3 separate regions of the Mus musculus genome follow, and regions 2 and 3 are each reported to be linked to region 1. Evidence: microRNA targets listed by miRTarBase, many of them from high-throughput screens and not tested one by one. Region 1 holds a microRNA gene; each other region holds the end of a gene's coding sequence.

The links. Region 1 holds the annotated microRNA mmu-miR-148b-3p (UCAGUGCAUCACAGAACUUUGU, at 4,331-4,352, shown strand). A microRNA usually pairs through its seed, bases 2 to 8, with sites in the 3' UTR of a target mRNA and lowers its output. Matches are read on the target gene's strand: a 7mer-m8 pairs with bases 2 to 8, a 7mer-A1 pairs with bases 2 to 7 and ends in A, and an 8mer does both.
Region 2: miRTarBase lists Mrpl51 as a target of mmu-miR-148b-3p. Seed matches in the 3' UTR shown: 7mer-A1 at 4,541-4,547.
Region 3: miRTarBase lists Trim43b as a target of mmu-miR-148b-3p. Seed matches in the 3' UTR shown: 7mer-A1 at 3,027-3,033.

The regions. Positions count from the first base shown.
Region 1 is chr15:103,280,855-103,288,549 of GRCm38, forward strand. It overlaps Mir148b (microRNA 148b), which reads left to right and starts at 4,271; the gene lies at 4,271-4,367. All of the region lies in intron 1 of Copz1 (coatomer protein complex, subunit zeta 1), which reads left to right. It overlaps Gm41406 (a long non-coding RNA gene), which reads right to left. Exons shown (of 5, transcript XR_003951562.1): 4 at 7,153-7,390; 5 at 5,508-5,846.
Region 2 is chr6:125,190,946-125,198,640 of GRCm38, reverse strand. It overlaps Mrpl51 (mitochondrial ribosomal protein L51), which reads right to left and starts at 6,441. Exons shown (of 3, transcript NM_025595.3): 1 at 6,208-6,441; 2 at 6,015-6,125; 3 at 4,249-5,418. The coding sequence starts at 6,286. The coding sequence ends at 5,222. It overlaps Mir3098 (microRNA 3098), which reads right to left and starts at 2,849; the gene lies at 2,763-2,849. Ncapd2 (non-SMC condensin I complex, subunit D2) reads left to right here and starts at 7,055. Exons shown (of 32, transcript NM_146171.1): 1 at 7,055-7,143. It overlaps Gm52878 (a long non-coding RNA gene), which reads right to left and starts at 1,907. Exons shown (of 2, transcript XR_003956366.1): 1 at 1,399-1,907; 2 at 1-780.
Region 3 is chr9:89,080,142-89,087,836 of GRCm38, reverse strand. Trim43b (tripartite motif-containing 43B) reads left to right here. Exons shown (of 7, transcript NM_001170884.1): 6 at 208-308; 7 at 2,121-3,213. The coding sequence ends at 2,593. Gm40542 (a long non-coding RNA gene) reads right to left here and starts at 355. Exons shown (of 2, transcript XR_870985.3): 1 at 136-355.

The DNA of each region.
Region 1 (7,695 bases):
AAAATAAATGTTTTACAATTTAAAAAAATACAATTAAAAAGGGAAAGAAAGAAAAGCAAAGACCTGGTACTCTACATTGCCTAAGAGCTTGAGGCTTGTTAACTTGTACAATTTGGTCACCAAAGCTGGAGGCCACCGAAAGCTGGAGGTTTATGGTGCTGACCCTTACTCCCCCTGCTGGCTGTGTGAGATCCTTGGCCATATTAACTTACAAAGGCCACATATTTTTATTGAAGTTGTTAACTGACTGAAGGCAGAAAATCATTCATTTCCTCTTCACATTCAAAAGACTGTTTGGCTTTTTTGAACAGGGTCTCACTATGTAGCTGTGGCTGGCCCAGATCTCACTACGTCTACCAGTGTGTCCTTAGACTGACAGAGATCAGTCTGCTTCTGCCTCCCAAGGGTTGGGACTAAAGATGTTGGCCACCAAACCGGGCTCTTCACATAATCTTATCTTCAGAGGATTGAATTTTAAACCTAGTTCAGTCTCACCTGTGTGGTGTGGGTGTTTGTTTGTTTTTTGGGGACAAAGTTCAGAAATTTTTATCAGCTTATCACAAGGGTCTGCTGTAATTTTTTTTTTTTTAAAAAAGGCCATAACCCTAGCTAATCTAGGTCCAGCCTTTCACTTCTCCTATGAGGAAGTTGAGTATCAGAGAAAGGGAGGGGAAATTTTGAGTTAATAACTTACCCAGAATTCAGAGATGCCAGCTCCTTCAACTAGCAGAAGTTTTGCCCCATGCTTGGACTCTCCATGTTTCCTATCTGTATGTCTGTATGGGGTAGGAAGATGTGTGTGTGTGCATGCATGCGTGTGCAGATATAATGAATGTGTGTGCATATGTGTGGAGGGTGGAGGCTAACCTCGGGTGCTATTTCTCCTCAGCAGCCAGCCATGTAGTTGGTTTTTGTTCATTTGTTTTGTGTTTTGTTGTTGTTATTGTTTTGAGAGAAGGTTTCTCTGTGTAGCCCTGGCTGTCCTAGAACTGGCTGTATAGACCAGGATGGCCAGAGATCCACCTACCACTCACTGCCTAGCTGAGTTGTTATTGTTGATTACCTTTTTGATTTGGCTGGCTGGCTGGCTAAAAGGGATCTTTGCTACCCTGACAGTGCATGTGATTAAATGCACAAGTACTTCCACCAGCTGAACTATCACTCCAGTTTTGGGGTTTTTTTTTTTTTTTTTTTGGTTTGTTTGTTTGTAGACAGAGGCTTGTGAACTTACGTAGCTGATGATCTTGAACTTTGAGTCTTCAAACCTCTGCCTCTTGACTGCTAGGGTTACAGACTGTGATGCCATGTCTGTTTTTAAGTAATACTAAGGATTGAACCCAGGGCCTCATGCATGCTAGGGAAATACTATAACAGAACCATAGTCTCAGTTCCTAAGAAGATTCTTCCTACTGTGACTTTCTGCCATCAGTACCTCCAGAATATGTGTTTAGTTTCCCCTCTACAACCGAAATTTGGTTTCATATAAGATAGATAATTTCTCCAGGACCCATGGGTCTTTTTAAGATAGGGTCTCATTATATAGCCCCAGCAGGCCTGGAACCCTTTATGTAGACTAGACTGGCCCTGAACTTTCAGAGAGCACCCTTTTTCTACCTCTTCAGTGCTACGATTAAGATTTGTGGAGGAGCTAGAGAAAGTATCCAAGGAGCTAAAGAGATCTGCAACCCTATCGGAGGAACAACATTATGAACTAACCAGTACTCCGGAGCTCTTGACTCTAGCTGCATATGTATCAAAAGATGGCCTAGTCGGCCATCACTGGAAAGAGAGGCCCATTGGTCAGGCAAACGTTATATGCCCCAGTACAGGGGAATGCCAGGGCCAAAAAATGGGAATGGGTGGGTAGGGGAGTTGGGGGGAGGGGGGACTTTTGGGATAGCATTGGAAATGTAATTGAAGAAAATACGTAATAAAAAAAAAAAGAAAAGAAAAAAAAAGATTTGTGCAGCCGGGTGTGGTGGCGCACGCCTTTAATCCCAGCACTCAGGAGGCAGAGGCAGGCGGATTTCTGAGTTCGAGGCCAGCCTGGTCTACAAAGTGAGTTCCAGGACAGCCAGGGCTATACAGAGAAACCCTGTCTCCAAAAAAAAAAGAAAACCAAAAAAAAAAAAAAAAAAAAAAAATGTGTGCAGCTATGCTTGCCTCATGGGTCTTACTTTCTGGGCTTCTTGTTGTTTTGGTTTTTAATGTGTCCCTATGTGTGAATGCCACTTGTGTGTGAGTGCCTGTGGAGGCCAGAAGAGGGTGTCAGATCCCCTGGAATTGAGAGTCACAGACAGTTATAAGCTGTCTGATGTGGATGCTGGGAACCAAACTCCAGACCTGCAAGAGCAGTAAGCACTCTTAACTGTTGGTCCATGTCCTCAGCCCTGTGAGTTTTTCTTTCTTTCTTTTTTTAATGTGTTTATTATTTTGTTTGTGGCACAGTCTAAAGCATATTCTGAGCACAGAATCCACCCCTGAAGCCCCTCAGCTGTGTTTCCCAAATCTAAATGCTATCCTTGTCAAAACTTAGCTAAATCTTCTTTTCATCTGAACTATGTAGGCTTCTGTAGTAAATTAGAGCTCTCAAACTCAGCATACCTTTTAATTTTAAAAAATTTTAACTCAGGGTTAGGTAACAGAATACCTGCATAGCCCTGTGGTGCTGGGAGTGGTATCTAGGAATTTCTCCTTCTAATTTTGTTTTGCTTTTGAGACAAGGTCCCACTCTATCCTAGGCTGGCCTAGAACTCACTATGTGGTCCAGATTGGCCTCTCAACTCCTGCTCATCCTTCTAAGTGCTTGGGTTACAGGTGTGTGTACTACGAAGGGCTCTCTTAGTTTTAACTCTCTAGGTTTCTTTTTTTTTTTTTAGATTTATTTATTTATTATATGTGTGTACACTGTAGCTGTCTTCAGACACTCCAGAAGAGGGCATCTGATTTTTGTTACGGATGGTTGCGAGCCACCATGTGTTTGCTGGGATTTGAACTCAGAACCTTTGGAAGAGCAGTCGGTGCTCTTAACCACTGAGCCATCTCACCAGCCATTTCATTTTATAAGCAGGATTGAAAGACCATCTTGTTACAGTTTTTAATTAATAGATCTATTGCTAAGCCCAAGAATTTTACTGTATCCCAAGAATATCTTTGTAAGTAGGGAACACAGATCTTTCCAGGAATCTCAGCCATATTGTTTTGTTTGTTTGTATGTATGTATGCATGCATGCATGCATGCATGCATGCATGTGTATATATATATATATTTTTTTTTTCGGTTCAGTTTTATTTTATATATACAAGTGTTTTGTCTTTATGCATATATGGGCACCGTGTGCATGCAGTACCTTCAGAGGCCAGAAGAGGGTGTCAGAACTCCCTGGAACTGGGAGCTGGGATCTGAACCTGAGTCCTCTGCAAGAGCAGCAAACGCTCTTAACCTCTGAGCTGTTTCTTTGGATTCTTAGGCCTTTTGGTTTTGTGACCTAAGAGACTTAAATAGTTACTTGTAGTTCTAAAATATCCTGTCTCTCTGCTCTATGTAGACACTGTTCCTCCAAGCTTTTTGATCTCATACAGTGATCTTACCCAACTATTCACTTACTATCCCATATATATTAGTTAAGCCAATAGACTTAATTCCGTAGTTTGGTTTGTATTTGTTTTGAGACAAGGTCATTTGTCCCAGCCTGTCCTAGAATTTGACAAGCTGCTGAGGATGACCGTGAACTTCTGATCCTCCTGCATGTAGGGTTACAAGCATGTGTCACTACCGTTAGCTTTCCGTGTTTTCTTTTACAAACCTGTTTGTATTAGTTTTATTTAAAATGCAAAATACATACAAATCGAGTTTGGTGGGGGTTTGTTTTGTGTGTGGATTAAGCACAAGGTCTCACACCTTAGGTGAGCACTCTGCCCAAACAGCTTAGGCCCCAAACCATTGCCTTTCTGGCACTGTTTGCTTGGGCTGTAATCCTGAGGAAGCTGTGTGTCAGGCAGGAGGTCCACAGAGGGCAGCACTGGGAAGGAATCTTCTTCCTCTAGCCTTCCCAGTATAGGCCTTGGTGCTCCAGACTTGATGTTCCCACCAGGTTTCTGGAGACTCTGATGGAGATCAGAGAGTTAGTTGCAGCAGCCTAGGTGCTTTCTGCATGACGTTTCAGCTGTCCCAAAGACAGCTTTCTAGTTTTCTTGATAATAAAAGCAGACACGAAAATCTATCCCTGCCACTCCTCCTCCCACAGCCAGTCTGCCTACCCACCACTTACAGGCACCCTTAGCATTTGAGGTGAAGTTCTGTTATACACTCAGGCTGTGGCTCTGAAAGTCAGTGCATCACAGAACTTTGTCTCGAAAGCTTTCTAGCAGCTGCCCATTTGGGGAGTGAGAGGGAAGAATAGATCTTTTCAGTCCTTTGAATATGGTCCTAAGATTGTAGGGTCTTTTTCAAGAGTCAGTATTTAATGCATCACAAGGTCAAAGCCCAGTCCCATTGTCCAGGAAGCTCATTTCTTAGCACCTGGGAGTTATTTATAACATGTCCTTTGCAAAGCTTAGAATGAAGTTACATTATTAGTAATGGCTTCTAGAGCCTTTAAACTGGCTGGTTTTCTGATATGAAGGGAATTCTCAGGCTTCCCCACTCCTGAGAGGTAAAGGCATAGGGTGGAGTGGGGCCAGCTACAACAGAAGTGAGGAGAGCTGGCTCTACTACAGCATGATGGTGATGCCTTTAAGTGGCATTCTGTCTCCTGCCGAATACCCCAGCTTTCCTTGTTGTGGGTCTTCCTTTGCAAGTTTGAAACGGTCAGGCTTTGTTCTGCCTTCCCTCTTTTTCCAGAACTCCAGTGCCTGAAAGCTGGTCTGGTCTCTCCTTTCTCCCTTAACCTGTCTTTTATCTTGCTCAGGAAGACCCAGTGTTTCTGTTTTAAGGTTTCTTTGATCATATCTTCTAGGCAACCAGTGAAAGAGTCAGGAGCAGAATCCTGGGTTGTATTCTGTTGTTAGCATGGCTGTGTAGGTGCTTAGACATTGCTGGCCACAAGAACACTGGCTCTCCCACTTGGCAGGTTGCCATTAGGGATTTTGGCTTCTGTGAGGGTGGGGGTGTGTGCTCCCATTCCTTCCAGGAATACCAGACTCTGGCTGCAACAACAGTCACCAATGCCAGATTAAGGTCCAGTTGCAACTTGTGGGCAGCTAGCCCTGTGTGGTTGCTGTGAGTGTGGATGAAGGGGCACAACCATTTCCTTCTGTTAGGATTTTTTTTTTCCCATTAAGAAAACTCGTTCCCATTGAGGGCTCCATTTTGGTACTTGAACAGCCAAGTGGCTGTAGAACAGAGCCTGCTCTGTGGGGTGATCTTTCTGTATGGAGCTAGGAGTTAGTAGAACAACTTCTGTTGGTGGCTCTTAGACTATACTTGAGAAGACTTCCCTATGCCAGACAGCACAGTTCCCCAGTTGCAGAGGAAATGCTCTTGTCCTTTATTCCAGAGAGCAGTGTGGCTAGGGTGGCAGTTTTCAGTGTGTCAGAGGAGAGGGTGGGTTGGCAATAATATCATCGTAGAACAATCTCACTACAAAATCCACTTAGATGCAAAATCCAGTTATAATAAATCATCGTGCTGAGAGATTTCTTTTTAAACTTTATTCTCAACTTTGAACAAATATTGAGAGCTCGGGATTCGCCAGGCATTGCTCTGTGCACTTGAGATGAATTAATGAACAAAATACAAAAATTGGTGAATGTCTTGGTTTGTTTCTTTTTGTTTTTTGAGACAGGACCTCATCAAAAATTACCATCATTAGGAATTCAAATCATATGCACATGAAGACACACACCTGTAATTAGGAAGTAGTAGGTGGATTAGCTTTAAGGTTATACTTGACTGTACACTGGGACTACATAGCATAGCCTACCTGATAAAAAAAGTAAGTGGGGAAAACGAAGCTTACGTTTCTTTTTGTTTGTTTGTTGTTTTTGTTTTCAAGACAGGGTTTCTCTGTATAGCCTTGGCTGTCCTGGAACTCACCCTGTAGACCAGGCTGGCCTCGAACTCAGAAACCCACCTGTCTCTGCCTCCCAAGCGCTGGGATTAAAGGCGTGCGCCACCACTGTCCGGCTCAAAGCTTACATTTCTTAGGTCATTTTCTTTCTTTTTTTTTTTTTTCTTTTGAGACAATAATTACATGTATAGCCCTGGCTGTCCTGGGACTCGCTTTGTAGCCTTGAACTCAGAGATCTGCCTGCCTCTGCCTCCCAAGTTCTGAGCCAGAACTGCTGGGCTCTTATACCATTTTCAAAAGACTGGGTTAGTGAGCTGGAGAAATAGGCCAGCAGTTAAGAGTCCTGGCTTCTGTCTAGTGGTGATGGCACATACCTTTAATCACAGTGACTTCCGGTACAAAGCCAGTCAAATCTCTGAGTTTAGGCCAGCTTGGTCTACATAGAGAGTTTCAGTACATAGAGAGTTTCAGTACAGCCACAGCTATACAGAGAAATAGAACACTGGCTTTTAAGCAGGGTCTGGTGGTATACATCTTTAATACCAGCAGTAGCAAAGCAAAAGGCAGGCAACCTTGAGTTGAGTTCAAGTTGAGTTGAGTTCAAGGACAACCTGGTCTACACAGTGAGTTCCAGGATAGCCAGAGTTTCATAGTAAGACCCTGTGTACAAAACAAAACACAACAAAACAAGAACAACCAAACAACCCAGCACTACCAACAAAATCCACTGGTTTCTCTTCTAGAAGACCCAGGTTCAAATCCTAGCATCCACGTGGCATCTTTAATTCCAGTTTTAAGGGATTCTGACACCCTCTCTGGCCTCCAAGGGCACCAGTCATGCAAGTGGTACACAAGTTTACATGTAGACAAAACAACCATACACATGGGGGGCGGGGAGTGATCACTTTGGAAGCAGTCTTGAGGGTTCAAGGCCAGCTGGGCTACATATTGAGAGCCCTTATCTAGATAGATAGATAGATAGATAGATAGATAGATAGATAGATAGATAGATAGATAGATAGATAGATAGATGAATGAATGTGAAAAAAAGAAAAGGAAAGCCTGGGTTAATACCCACTTCTCTTGAGCTAAGGTTGCTTCTTTTTTATGAAGCCCCACCTCTCCAGGAGCCTCACTTTACCTCTGTCAGGCTGCAGTCTCTGGATCCTTTGCAGTAATTCTTTCTTCTGCCTCATGTCTTTGTTAAACTTATATTTTTGAAGATGGGTGAGTTTTCTAAGACCAGGAGAGCAAAGCAGATAGATAGTCTTGCCTTGGACCAGAGGTAGTGAGAAGTAGTCTTGGTGAGACCTCAAATTCTGTGAGTGGCGGAGGCCTGCTGTGCACAATGCCAGCTGCTCTCACTTTCCTTTTTCCTTCTGAAAGTTGTGAGAATAGAGAAGAGAACACCAGGCTCAATAGCTTTTCCTAAGTCATCTGTTTGCAATTGAAGAAAGGTGTTAAAGTGTAACCATTACAGCTAAGTTGTGATGGCTTCATGAGAGCCAGTATCAGCAAGTCTGTGTCATTCTGGGGTTTTGTTCTGTTTTACAGGGACCCAGGGCTCCCTGCACACAAACATGCCCCATGGCACTGAGTACTTAGTTCCATTCTTGGTAGTGGAAGAAAACTCCCCTTGTTATTTTAGCTACCTCTCAGACTCCGGACGTCTCAAATATTTTTC
Region 2 (7,695 bases), not on the chromosome of region 1:
AATTCAGAGATCCACCTGCCTCTGCCTCCCAAGTGCTGGGATTAAAGGCATGCACCACCACTGCCTGCCCATCTAACATGTTTTAAATATTCATCTGAATGTGGCATGTATGGGTACTTCATTCCTTTAGTAATTGAATAATAATTCACTGTACAACTGTTCAAAATCTTGGTTACTTTTTTTTTTAAATCAATTGCTGGACATTTGTCCTTTTAAAACATTAATTTATTTGGGGGGCAGGCATGCACATATGGAAATGAGATCAGTTTGCAAGAGTTGGTTCTCTCCTTCTTCCATGAGGGATTAATTAGTTCCAGGGACCAAACTCAGGCGTCCTTCAGACTCACTATGTATCTGAAGAAGGCCTGGAACTCCTGATCCTCCTGCTCTACCTCCTAGGCACCTGGCCCACGGGGCTCTGCTAGCAGGTAGGCATTGGTTTGGTTGGGTTCCTCTTGTGGCCACCATAATGGCCTGCACTAGCATGGCCCTTTCTGCTCTTGTGGAACAGACACGCTTCCATTCTCTTGGGTGACACCTCTGAGTGACATTACCGATCCATACGTAACTCTGTGTTTAGCTTTTTGGGCAGCTGTGGATTTCCCAAAGTGGCTAGATCATTTTACTAAATGTAGGTTTCCTCGTGCTCTGACTCTTAACTTCTCAGCTTATCTTTAGGCACACAAAGTAGTTCCACTAACAAATACTACTTGTAGCCTTGCTGTGTGCTGGCTCCATGCTATTTCTCACATCTGTGCCATTTTGCTCTGCATCATTTGCCTGAAAAAAAAAAAATTGTTACCTCCCTCTGCACCCCCTCCCCACTTTTAACATTCCTTTAGGATAAATTAGTGGTGATCTGATCACCTACAGGAAGCCTTCCCTGCCCTCTACCTGCTCCCCTGGGGTTGGTTAGGGACTCCTTCCTGCCTGTGTCTATATAGTCATTTCCCATTGAATTCCTAGCACTGACCCTTTCCAAGACCTACTTCAAGCACTTCAATCCACAGTCACACACACACACACACACACACACACACACACACACACACACACACACACACACACGTGCATGCATGTGCACACACAATTTTCTCACCCCCTTTTAAAAACAAACAAACAAAACAAAAACAAAAACCTCATGTGGGACTGGAAAGCTGGCTCAGTGGTTAAGAGCTGCTCTACCAGAGATCCTAAATTCAATTACCAGGAGCCACATGGTGACTCATAATCATCTATAATGAGATCTGGTGCTCTCTTCTGGTGTGCAGGCCTACGTGTAGGCAGAACACTGTGTACACAGTAAATGGATAAACCTAAAAACAAAAACTCATGCTGCAACAATATTTTTCCCACGCAATTACCGAATTCAGATATGCATCTTGTTTACATACGCACCCTGTACCTGACGGATGAAATCTTTTTACAGGCAGTGGTGTAGCCTTGGTTTGTGGTGTATATGCCTCCAAGGTCCTTCCACACAATGATTCAGTGTTTGTTGAAGGGAAATGTTGCATTCTTTTTCATTACAAAAACAATCCAGCTCTGTGCTTGAAAAATAAGACTTTTTGTAACTGACAGCAGGAAGAATTTTATACGGGCTTCTGGGGCTGACTTGTTAGTTCCTTCTTCACTAACACTTGTGAGATTGTATTAAAACATTTTCCTCTTCCTTTTCTACCTTTCCCCCTCCTCTTTGGTTTCTCAAGACAGGGTTTGTGTGTGTGTGTGTGTGTGTGTGTGTGTGTGTGTGTGTGTGTGTGTGTGTAGCCTTGGCTGTGCTGAAACTTGTTCTGTAGACTAAGCTGACCTTGAGCTTATAGAGAAACACCTGCCTCTGCTACCCAAGTGCTGGGATTAAAGGGGTGACCACCGCGCTTCATGGCTTTTTTGTTTTTTCTTTTCTTTTTTTTTTTTTTAAAGATGGGATTTCACTGTGTAGCCAAGCCTGGAACTTGATATGTAGACCAGGCCTGCCTCTGTCTCCAGGGATCAGTCCTGGGTTCAAAGGTTTTTGCCTCCATGCCTGAAGACCTCAAGACTTCTTAGCCTCGTTTTATCAACCCTTGTTATTTAAATTTTGTCCTTTGGGATCAAGTCTCTAAGCAACCAAGCCCAAGAGAGGCTGAATAATAAGACCTTGTGCCAAAAGAACTTAGCTGGGGCTGTGGAGAGATGGCTCAGAGGTTACAAGCACTTGCTGTTCTTGCAGTGGCCCTGATTTGGTTCTCAAAAAAACAAAAACAACCCAAACTACCAATTGACTAAGTAGATGTGAGTGAAGATGTCTCAGGCGTGTTAGCCCACTGCTGAATATGGCCTCGTGACAGCAAACTAGATTAACCATCTGAAGAAGAAAACCCAGAGAAAATGATTTGAAGTTGTTTTAGTCATTGAGTTTAAGAATGGACTGTTACGTCATAAAAGATCATTGACACAGAACTTAGATTTAAATCAAATAGGATAACCACCCTAATTTTTCTACCTTCAGAGCTCACTTGAGTCTACAAGCAATTCATTTTCTTGGATTTGCAATACTTTTAACATTTTTAAATTTTATTCTACATCCCAACCACAGCTTCCCTCTCAACCACAGCTTCCCTCCCTCCATAGTCTCTCCCTGCCACTTTTCCTCCCCACACCCAGATCCCCACTCCCCTGTTCTCCCCAGGTCAGGCCTCAGTGGCTATCAACCAGCCATGGCATATCAAGTACAGTAAGACAAGGCACCTCTTCTATTAGGGCTGGGCAAGGCAGCCGGTTGTGGGGAAAGGGTCCTAAAGGCAGGCAGCAGAAGCAGGGGATAATCAGAGCTCCTACTCCTGCTGTTAGGACTCCTCCCAACCACAATGTGTGGAGGGCCTAGCTCAGTCCCATGCAAGCTCCCTGGTGGGCAGTTCAGTTTCTGTGAGCTCCTAAGGGCTCAGGTTAGTTGATTCTGTGGGTTTTCTTGTGATGTCCTTGACCCCTCTGGCTCCTACAGTCCCTCCCCCCACTCTTCCAAGAGAATCCCCAAGCTCTGCTTTGTTTGCCTGTGTGTCTCTGTAATACTTTTTTGTTTTGTTTTGTTTTTTTCAAGACAGGGTTTCTCTGTGTAGCTCTGGCTGTCCTGGAACTCACTCTGTAGACCAGGCTGGCCTCAAACTCAGAAATCCTCCTGCCTCTGTCTCCCAAGTGCTGGTTTTAAAGGCGTGCGTCACCACCGCCCGGCAATACTTTTTTATAAAAAGAAGTAGGTATTATATAGCCTTGGACATGGCCACTAAATATGAGGATTAAACAGTAGTTTGAAGCTGGATACAAGGACTCACACATATAATCTTGTCACTCTGGAGGTAGAGGCAGGAGGATGGGTCCCAGTTTGAGCTATAAGAGTTCCAGGCCAGCCTGAGCCTGACTTTGAGAGACTATAGGTTTTTGGTGTTTGTTTGTTTGTTTTTGTTTTTATGTTTGTTTTGTTTTTTCGAGACAGGATTTCTCTGTATAGCCGAACTCAGAAATCCACCTGCTTCTGCCTCCTGAGTGCTGGGATTAAAGGTGTGCACCACCACCGCCCGGCTTATTATTATTATTTCATGTTTTACATGCAATAATACATGCAGCTATGCCTGTGCACATGTGCATGCCTGTCTCCATGGGAAGCCCAGAAACTGGAAGTATAGTCAGCCTTGAGTCACCATGTGTGAGCTGGGAATTAACCTGGGCAACCTGCAAGAGCATCCCTGGGAGATGGCTGGAATCATCTCTCCAGCCCCAAGACTGTTTAAAAAAAAAAAAAAAATGCAAGAAAAATTCCCTGGATTACCTTTCTGTCATCTCCAGACTTCTCACTGAATTGATTTCAATTGAAACATAAATTCAAAAACCTGTGGAAAATGTGGTGGCTTAAGCCTTAGATCCAACACTAAGGTATTATCTCCATGAGTTCAAGGCTAGCCTGGTCTACATACTGAGTTCCAGGATAGCCAAGGCTACATAGAGAAAACCCTATCTCAAAAAACCAAAAGAAGTAAATGAAGAATGTCATAGCAAAACCTATTATTTTTGTAATATATACTAACAAAAGCAAAGTGCAGCAGAGGGTCTATAGCTCACTATAAAGTACTTGGTATATCCAAGACGCCAGCACTATGCCATATAGAAGAGTCTCTCAGGGAAGCCCACACTCATGCTCTCAAGTGTTTTACCTCTGAACACCTCTCTCATAGCCCTGATGCTCAAACCTGTATTAAAATATCTTTCTTTTTAAAAAAAGATTTATTTAATGTATGTGAGTACACTGTAGCTGTACAGATGGTTGTGAGGCTTCATGTGGTTGTTGGGAATTGAATTTAGGACCTCTGCTGCCTCAGTTGACCTTGCTCTCTCTGGTCAACTCCACTTGCTCTGGTCCAATGATCAAAGACTTTTTTATTATTAAAAATAAGTACACTGTGACTGACTTCAGATGCACCAGAAGAGGGCGTCAGATCTCATTATGGGTGGTTGTGAGCCACCATGTGGCTGCTGGGATTTGAACTCAGGACCTTCAGAAGAGCAGTCAGTGCCATCTCACCAGCCCTAAAATATCTTTCTTAAATGACATTTTTTTCCCCTAAAAAAAAAAAAAAAGCAAACAGGGTAGCACACACAGGGGTAATACTGGGTGTGATCTTTAACACTTCATAAAACTGGGCATGACTCAAGGTCAGCCTCCACAAAACTGCCCTATTCAAGAGGATGGGAAATGCTGTGGTACTCAGACAAGTTCCCTAACTTATAACTGATAAGAGCAGTACAAAGTGTAATTTCACTTTCCTAGTTCATTTTGGGGTGGCAGAGTCTTTAGAAATAGCAGCTACACTTCCAAGGGCCTGGGCGGCTAGTGGCAGAGTTCCCTAGAATGAGCAAGTCCCTGGGTTTCAGCTCCAAGATTACAAAAAAATAAGATAAAATAAATAAAAATAAATTCTTTAAAAACTTACACGAGGTGCCAGTGTCAGAAAGTGCCAGCAATAAATGATTGTTATAAAGGCCACAAGCATAACTGGGCTGTAAGTAATAGTAACAAAAGATCATGTGACTTAGGAACGAGGCAGACGTCAGAGTGCATGAGTAAATGTAGCACTGGGCATATCAGATTCCAAAGGAGCCCCATTTTTTTATTACATCGAGCACACAAAGCTCTCTCCTTGCTGGGATAAGTCCTGTTCCCCTTCTCCAGGGTGACACATTTCCCGTCCTATCTGTACTTCCCATGTCGGTTAAAGTGTTTGTAGAGATAGCTGATCCGTTTGTTAAGGTTATGCAGGTCCTCAATGAACATCCTGTTTCCCACAAATTTCTTCTTTCGGACACAACGCTGCAATTCATTTCCTCTCCAGCCTCGAAGCCATACTGGGCCCTTGATCAGTTCTTTTGGGTGCTTCTCGAAATTCCCTGTAACGTGACAGAATATATACTAGTTTCAAGAGAAGAGAAGTCAGCCTAGCCCAACTAGGCCTTCAACACAGTTTCATCTCCCTGATCAGAACTACTGACAGACAAGGCACACACCAGTCTAGTACAAGGGACAGAGTCTTTGTAACACTTGCTCTTCCAAAGGATTCCCCAGCACTCTCAACTGAAGGTTCACGACTGCCTGAAAGGGAAGTTCTAGGAAGTCACCCTGAACCTGCAGGCATTGCTTGAGCAGTACACGGTACACATTCAGAAAACACAAAAATCTTATTTAAAAAAGAAGAAAGAAAGAAAGGAGTAAAGACTTTGCAGCCAGAAATGTCTGGGTTCAAATACTGACACTCCCATTTACTCGCTTTGGCCCTCAGACCTGCCCACTACTGTGTTAGTGAGACTGAGTCCCGCACTCCTCACTATTCTCCGCATCTCAGACTGGTCTTGCCTGGCTTCATCTCCCGTGTAACAGGTTTGTGCCCCCAGGCTTGCCCCGGGCACATTACTATTCTCTCCACAAATAAAACCGAAAGAGTCAAGAGAGCATACTAATCCTTCAGAAACCAGGAATCGCGTCCTACCCAGGATTCCAATGTTGTCGTAGACGCCAAACAGAGCCCTCTTCTCGTTCCAGCGATCAACCACTTTGGGAGGTGGAAGAGTGAGCCTTACGAAGGCCAACCGTGGGACGCCTAGGGAAGGACAGAAGCATGAATCAGCACTGCCCAGTGACAAGCCGTTAGCCGGCCGTCCTACTACACTTAAGCCACTTACCCAGAGAGAAGCTTCGGCATGCCGAGGGCACCCAGCCCCACAGTCTCCTACTTGCCGCCCAAGGGACACTCCCTGCCATTACTCTAGCCTGTCCGCCTCAGTAGGGGCAGCAAACCAGCCGGAAAAATGGGGAGCGGGTGTGAATTCCAAAGCCAAGACACAGATTACAGTCCCAGGCGGGACTCACACGGTAGTGACAGTAAGAGGAGCCATTTTGGGCCTTACCCAGGTAGCTTAGGGAGTCATCCCAAGGTGGCTCGCACAGCCACAAGCCCCGCCCTCCAAGTTCCGGCCTGTGAGGCGCGTCCAGTCAAATACTTCCGGTTTAGCCCCTGGAAGAATGGAACCGCTGCGGTGTTTGTTGTCGCAGGAAAGGACGCCCCCAAACCGAAATTCCGTTAAAATAAGCTCTCTCCTGTCCCTTGCGCGTCCTCAACTGTGAGGGAAGTGGAGGACGGGAGCCTGGCGCTACGGCAAGCTGAGTTTTGCTGGGGCAGTATATTCCCGGAGTGTACAGGGCCGGGCGCCACATGGTTAAAAGCTGGACTGCTTTAGGCGGCCCGCGGAGAGACAACGGGTGACCATGCTTAGCCGACTACGGTAGAGATGCCGGGAAAGCGCAGACTCGGGGCCACGCCCCTCGCCCGCTTGCCCCGCCCCCGGGGCTGTGATTGGTTGGCTTCTCCAGCCTCTGTCGCGATTGGCCTCCTGGCAGCCGTTGAGGTTTGAACAGGGAATTGCGGGCTCCGCGAGCGCGACGCCTGGCGCTGAGGCGGGTCTCCGTCTCAGCCTGCCGCGGATTGGCCGGTTCCTCCGCTAGCTTGAAAACCATCTCGTTGTTTGGCGCGTATCCTGCCCTATTGTTTTCTTCCTTCCTTTTCAGCAGGGGGCTCTCCGGTTGAAGAAGCGGCGGGTGAGGGGTGTCGCGGGGTCCAGGTGAGATGTGGCAGTGCGAAAGGTTGGGAAGGGAAAGGTTGAGAAAAAGCAGGTCCAGGACGTGACGCAGCCTTTGCCGGAGTGCGGTCGGGAGCGACGGTCTGGTAGGGATGCCCTTGAGATCCAGTATGGCTGTGTGTCTGACAGATCAGAATCTGAATGTGTGGTGTGGGCAAAATCGCATAGCCTTACTACCCAATGTGTAAATTTGGTTGTTTCGTTCTGCACCCCATGAGACTGAAATCAGGCACAGGATAAGTAGAAGTTAATGTCCTTCCATTCCATTGATTGGGCTGGAACCCCAATGCTCAGTAAAATATTTCTTAAGGATTTTTTTCACTTTAAAATGGAAGCAATAAGTCTGTATGTATACACTGATTGTCACTTAATAGTTCATTAGTATTGTCTTGTGTTGTTGTGTTGTTGTTGTTGTTGTTGTTGTTGTTGTTGAGATGTACTCCTTGCAGCCTCACTGCAGTCCTGGCTGACATCAAACTCAGCAGTCCTCCTGCCTCAGCCTTCTAATGTTGCCTTTATACACATGTTCCACCA
Region 3 (7,695 bases), not on the chromosome of region 1:
GAATACCTATGTGAGTGCACATGTGTGCAGGGCAGAGGACCACTCTCAGTCAGTCTTCTCCTTACACCATGGGATCCTGGGATTGAAGTTCAGTTGTCAGGTTGTATGGCAAGGGTTTTAACCCCTGAGTCTTACTTAGCTCTGAGTGAAGATTTCTCCTCATCACTGGGATGATAATCTTAGCATATCAATGTCTTCTCCTTGCAGGAGTAAGCTAGCGGCAAAGCTGGACATGCCACAGGGTATGATACCAAGACTCCGTGCCCATTCCATTCCTGGGCTGACTGCAAGGCTCAACTCCTTCCGAGGTGAGTGTCAGGACTGATATAATGACCAGAGGTGCCCTTCAACAGTGAGATAAACTTTGCACAGTGAATATATTTTTTTAAAGGTTTATTTATTGTTATATGTAAGCACACTGTAGCTGTCTTCAGACACCCCAGAAGAGGGCATCAGATCTCATTACGGATGGTTGTGAGCCACCATGTGGTTGCTGGGATTTGAATTCAGGACCTTCGGAAGAGCAGTCAGTGCTCTTACCCGCTGAGCCATCTCTCCAGCACTGTATGTTTTCTATTAAATATTTTAGCAGTTGATTTTTTTTTTTCATTTTGGAGTCATGATTTATCTTTTTGGAGGGGGGGGTGTGTTTCGAGACAAACACACCCTGTAGCCCTGGTCATTAAAGCATAAAGACGGACACGACAGAGGGAGAGACCGTGCATCCCCGTCCCCAAGCTAGGTTCTTATTCTGTCCACCTTGTTCCAAACGAGATATCATTCCCTCCCGTCACCACGCACTCCACCCTGTGCGCTTGTGGCATACCTTGTTTATGATCGCGACGGTTTCCTGGGATGAGTAGCCCTGGCTGACCTGGAACTCACTCTGTAGACCAGGCTGGCCTTGAACTCAGAAATCTGCCTGCCTCTGCCTCCAGAGTGCTGGGATTAAAGGTGTATGCCACCACGGCCGGCTATGATTTATCTTTGTACCCCTGGCTGTTTTGGAACTAGCTCTGTAAACCAGGCTGGGCTCAGACTCACAGAGATCCACCTGCCTCTGGCTCCTAAATGCTTTAATTAAACACATGTGAAACCATGCTCAGCTACCAGTTGAATTTTAAAGTATATTATACTCCATAGATTAAAAATTCACGGGCTGGAGAGATGGCTCAGTGGCTAAGAGCACTGACTGCTCTACCAGAGATCCTGAGTTCACTTCCCAGCAACCACATGGTGGCTCACAACCATCTGTAATGGGGATCTGATGTCCTCTTATGTGTCTGAAGACAGTGACAATGTACTCACATACATGAAGTAAATAAATAAATCTTTAAAAAATTATTAAAATTCACAAGATATAGTGGCACCTACTTGTAACCCCAGCATGAAAAACATGGAATCAGGAGGATTGCCCAAGAGTTTGAGGCCAGACAGATTGACATAGTGAGTTCCATGCCAGTCAAGGATATATAGCAAGAAATCCCATCTCAAAGAAACTACAGAAATGATCATTAAAAAAAACCCAAATAGACAAATTCATATATCATAGGCAATAAAAATAAAACGAGTTGATAAGACACTGCAGTCAGAATCACACTGGGAGATCTAAATATGGATTGTCATCACAGGGAAAGAATATCAGAGGAACCAGGGCTTAGTAAAAGGCAGACAATTGCTATTAGGGGACAACTTCTAATGCATGTTTAGATTTGTCTTGAGTACATATCTGCTTAGTGGAATGAAAATCAAAACACTAAGATGCAAGCAATCATGACATGACTTAGGAATAACTTTTCATGGAGACTCAGGGGTACAGCCTTCACAGCGGTCCTCATTGTGTTGCACACCTCCTGTTGCTCAGTGGTAATGAAAAGCTCCTGACAGAACTGTGCTGTGGCTTCCTCCTCTGCAGCTTCTACAGATTTTCAAAAACGTTTTCATTATGTACTCACTGTTTCTTGGGGGAACTTCTTGACTTTTATTTATTTATCTGGGCTATATCTACCCTTCCAGTCTTAGCCTTTCTATTTTTAAAACCAGGAAATCTCTAGGGACCTCATTCACCTGACAACTGTAAACAGTTGGTTTAACTAAAATGTTGGCTTTTCTTCCCACAGTGAAGATTTCCTTTAAACATTCAATCATGTTCGGCTACACCTCACTCAGACCTTTTGATATCAGACTTCTCCATGAAAGCACATCTCTGGATTCAGCTGAAACCCATCGTGTTTCCTGGGGAAAAAAGAGCTTCTCCAGGGGAAAATACTACTGGGAGGTGGATTTGAAGGACTATAGGCGGTGGACTGTAGGAGTCTGTAAGGATCCCTGGTTAAGGGGGAGAAGCTATGTGGCGACACCCACAGATCTATTTCTTGAGTGTTTGAGAAAGGACGATCATTACATTCTCATCACCCGCATAGGAGGTGAACACTATATAGAGAAGCCAGTTGGCCAAGTTGGCGTGTTCCTTGATTGTGAGGGTGGATATGTAAGTTTCGTGGATGTAGCCAAGAGTTCCCTCATACTCAGCTACTCTCCTGGAACTTTCCATTGTGCTGTCAGGCCTTTCTTCTCTGCTGTCTACACATAATCATAGGAATCCAGTATGCTAGTGCTTTTCTAGTACTTCTATGATAATGTGTCCCCTCTTTATTGTGATGGTTTGTGTATGCTTGGCCAGGGGAGTGGCACTATTAGAATGTGTGGCCCGGTTGGAGTTGGTGAGTCACTGTGGGTGTGAGCTTTAAGACTCTCATCTTAGCTGTGTGGAAGTCAGTCTTCCACTAGCAGCGTTCAGATGAAGATGTAGAACTCTCATCTGGGTCTTTACCATGCCTACCTAGATATTGCCATGATCCCACTTTGATAATGGATTGAACCTCTAAACCTGAAGGCCAGCTCTAATTAAATGTTGTCCTTTATAAGACTTGCCTTGGTCATGGTGTCTGTTAATAGCAGTAAAACCCTAACTAAGACATGTTAAAATGATATTAAGGGATGGAGAGATGGCTCAGAGGTTAAGAGCACTGACTCTTGGTTAAGGGACTGTTCTTCTGAAGGTCCTGTGTTCAAATCCCCACAACCACATGGTGGCTCACACCCATCTGTAATGAGATCTGATGTCCTCTTCTGGTGTGTCTGAAGACAGCTACAGTGTACTTACATATAATAAATAAATAAATTTAAAAAATATAAAATGATATTAAATGTAAAAGATGGGTGACTGCTTCTTATCTGTGGTCCACCTGTTCCTCCTAGAACATTTACTTTTTTAAAAATATTTTATTTATTATGTGTAAGTACATTGCAGCTGTCTTTAGACACCAGAAGAGGGCGTCATATCTCACTATGGATGGTTGTGAGTCACCATGTGGTTGCTGGGATTTGAACTCAGGACCTCTGGAAGAGCAGTCAGTGTGCCCTTACCTGCTGAGCCATCTCACCAGGCCAAACATTTACTTTCAAAGTAGTTATTGCTTTTTGTTTTTGCATATTTGTGAGAATTACTAATTAGAATCTTGGATCTAGTGTAGACCTAGAACTCAGGATGCAGAGTTCCCAGAGTTCCAGCACCATTTAAATATTCTGTATCTGTGTGATTCTAAGTTAATGACGTCAGGCAGAGGCACAGAGATCTACTGTAGGCAGATTTGTTGATCAATAAAAGCTTGAATCCCTATTTGATCTAAACAAATAATTATTTACCAACTGGGATAGAACAACAACAACAAACAGGCTCTCATCGTTCAGAGAGGGATTTTTTTTTCCTGAAAAAAAGGAAAGTGAGTTTCCCCCTCTTTCACGTCCTTTATTTTAAACCTGTTTTATGTTGGGGACACACTTGAAAAAACTTTAATTGTCTCCAACATAAAACAGCTTTAAATATTGAATATTCTTCCAGTCTCAGAGAGCACACAAATGTCTTTTGACATTCAACAGGTTCTCTCTTCTGGAAACCCCTCCTTGGTCATTTGCAAGAGGGTCGTGTGTGGGGCTGGTGAGATGGCCCAGCGGTTAAGAGCACCGACTGCTCTTCCAAAGGTCATGAGTTCAAATCCCAGCAACCACATGGTGGCTCACAACCATCCGTAAAAAAAATTCTGATGCCCTCTTCTTCAGTATCTGAAGACAGCTACAGTGTACACACATATAATAAATAAATCTTAAAAAAAGAGGGTCGTGTGCACCTGAGAACACTGAGAGAAGTAGATTGTAATGCCCATCCAAGGCCATTTTCTTTCATGATTCTAGACTTTCAGAAATGAAGCCTCAAATTTTTTTGGTTAGCCAGTCTAGTTCCCTCTGCTTTCTCATGTTGCTTCGAAAGGCATAAAGTTATACTTCTTAATATCCCAACATAAGATTTGACTCCATTGACCATTTGACTTCTGTGACACCTAGGCTCTGACCAGAATATTACACCAAGGACTGTGCAGAGACATGAGAACTTAGGTTGCTCCTTTAGGAAGCATATTGCAAATATTTTAGAAAAGACTAAGAACACAGTAGACATAAGAAATGCCATGCGACTACTACTTAGCACCAGGCATGCAGTTCAATAAGATCACAAAACATAGAAGCATTAAGCTCAAAGGGGATGAGGTGTTTTGTTTTTTCTCATTTTTTTATTAGAAAAAGAGAAAGCAAATGTTGGGGTTGCATTTATATCATGTACAGGATTCTGGAGAATTTCTAAATCCCCCAATTTCTGGAAAGTTTACATTCCAGTCATAAAACCTCACTTGATGCATTGACAATATAACAGCTCATGTAACCCTCAGGAAACCTTGTGGAAGAGGCAGATACATCCTAAGAGCCAGAGCACCAGAACATCTGCTTCTAAATAGGCACACAAGGAAGAGGGATTTGAAGGAGGGCCCATGGGTGCATATACAATATATGAAATTGCCTTAAATTAATAAATGAGAGCTAAAAAGCAAATCAGTTTAGCAGTCAGGGCAGCTCTGTGGCTTATGTCCAGGCCCAAGCTCCTCAAATGTACTTTTGTGGGCAAATGGCCTTCACCTTGGCCACATTTAGAGCATATAGAGTATAAATCCTTTCCTATTTAACTATTGTGGTTCTTTTGAACTCATATCTAATAAGGTAAAACACAAAGCTCATGTATATACATTTTAAAATTTATTCTTATAATACTGTCAGATCATAGCTTCTCCTTTCATTTCTCCCAGTCCAAGCCTGGGTAAGGCAACCCAGTAGGAGGAAATGGGTCTCAAGAGCAGACAAGAGCCAGATATCTACTTCACTGTTACTAGTCCTACAAAAACTCCAAGCTAAAAACCATAACATGCCGGGCAGTGGTGCCTTTAATCCCAGCACTTGGGAGGCAAAGGCAGGCAGATTTCTGAGTCTATACAGTTGAGTTCCAGGACAGCCAGGGCTATACAGAGAAACCCTGTCTCAAAAAACCAACCAACCAAAAACCATAACATGCAGATATAACTTAAGCACATACCAATGTTCCAGGGTTGCTGCTTCAGTCTCTGTGAACCCCCAGGACCCTTATTTAGTTGCTTCTGTTTGCTGTATTATCCTAGTGTCTCTGACCCCACTGACTCTTATAATTCTTCCTCCCCCTTCTTCCATGGGGTTCCTAGATCTCTGAGGGGAGGGACCTAATGGAGTGCTCCAATTTGGGCTCTCTCTACATCTCATGCATGGCTGTCAGTCTTTACATTGGTTCTAATCAGCTTCTAGGGAAAGTGTCTCTGATGACTATTGAACTAGGCCTCAATCTTTGAGTATAGCAGAATACCACTAGGGATCATTTCATTGACTTATTTTTCCTACCCTAGGTCCTTGGCTATCCAGACTCCAGTTCTTGATGATCCAGGCAGTGTTGGGCATGGGCTTCCTCTCTTGTGGGCTTCGAATTAGACCACTCATTAGTTGGCCACATTAGTTCTCCTTCATTGCCCCAGCACATCTTTCTGGCAGGATAGGTTGTAGGTCTAAGGGCATTAGCTGTGTTCATGTTGCAACCCTACCACTGTAAGTCACTTGGTTATAGAATATGGCTGGTTCAGGCTCTGTATCCTCCATTACTGGGAGTGGTCTCTGGGGTCACCTTTGTAGATTCCAGGGATTTTACTTTTTACTAGATTTTTTTTTTTTTTTTTTTTTTTTTTTTGGTTTTTCAAGACATGGTTTCTGTGTAGCCCTGGCTGTCCTGGAACTCATTCTGTAGACCAGGCTGGCCTCGAACTCAGAAATCTGCCTGCCTCTGCCTACCGAGTGCTGGGATTAAAGGCGTGTTCCACTACGCTCAGCTCCATTACTAGATTTCTACATCAGCTCCAGAAGTTATCCAATTCCAGTCATCTCTCCCATACTCTCTCCCTCCAGTCCTCCCTGAGAACTTGATCCCCACTTGTTTCTTAGCTTCATGTCTGTGGATTGTAGAATAGTTATCCTGTACTTTGTGGCTAATAGTCTTTCTGGGTCTGGGTTATCTCACTCAGGATGATCTTTTCTAGATTCATCTACTTGCCCACACATTTAATGATATCATTGTTTTTAATATTTGAGTAATATTCAATTATGTAAAGGTACCTCATTTTCTTTATCCATTCTTTGGCTGTTTCCAGTTTCTGGCTATTATGAATAAACCTACTAAAAACTTTGTTGAGCAAGTGTCCTTATAGTCGGTTGAGTATTTTTTGGGTCTATAGCTGGATCTTGAGATAGGTCTATTCCAAGTTTTCTGAGAAACTACCCAATTGATTTCCAACGAGGTTGTATAAGTTTGCACTCCCATCAGTGGAGGAGTGTTCCCCTTGCTCCACATTTTTGCCAGGATGAAATGGAACTTGAGATTTTTTTTTCTCAGCCATTTTGATGAGTGTAAGATGAAATCTGAGTTATTTTAATTTGTCCTTACCTGATAACTAAGGATGCTGAACATTTCTTTAAGTGCTTCTCAGCCATTTAAGATTCATTTGTTGAGAATTCTCTGTTTGGGTCTGTACCACATTTTTATTAATTTTATTTATTTATTTTTGTTTATTTTTTTCAAGACAGGGTTTCTCTGTGTAGCCCTGGCTGTCCAGGCACTCACTTTGTAGACCAGGCTGGCCTCGAACTCAGAAATCCGCCTGCCTCTGCCTCCCAAGTGCTGGAATTAAAGGCATGTAACACCTCTGCCCAGCAGAGGCCTTTTCTCAATCAGGAATCCTTCTTCCAAGGTGGGTGTGGAAGGCACTCACTCACCTTTAATCCCAGTATTCTGGAGTCAGAGGCAATCTGTGATTCAAGGCCAGCCTGTCCTACAAACTAAGTTCCAGGACAGCTAGAGCTACATAGTGAGACCCAGACTCAAAAAAACCTAAATAAATAAATGATTGCTCTATTTGCATGCACACCTGCATGCCAGAAGAGGGCATCAGATCCCATTACAGATGGTTATGAGCCTCAATGTGGTTGCTGGGAATTGAACTCAGGACCTCTAGAAGAACAACTAGTGGTATTCCATCTTTGGGACACTGGGGGGAGGGGGTGAAGCTTCAGCCTTGCAGATGAGGGGTGGTGCTGGGGGAAGGGGCTGTGTGTGTGTGTGTGGGGGGGGAAGGGGGTGGGGGGACTAAAGGTGTACACTGTCAACACCCAGGTTCTTTGAACTGCAGAGCCATCTCTCCAGCCCCTGACCCCCACCCCCAGCTTGTTTTTTAAGAT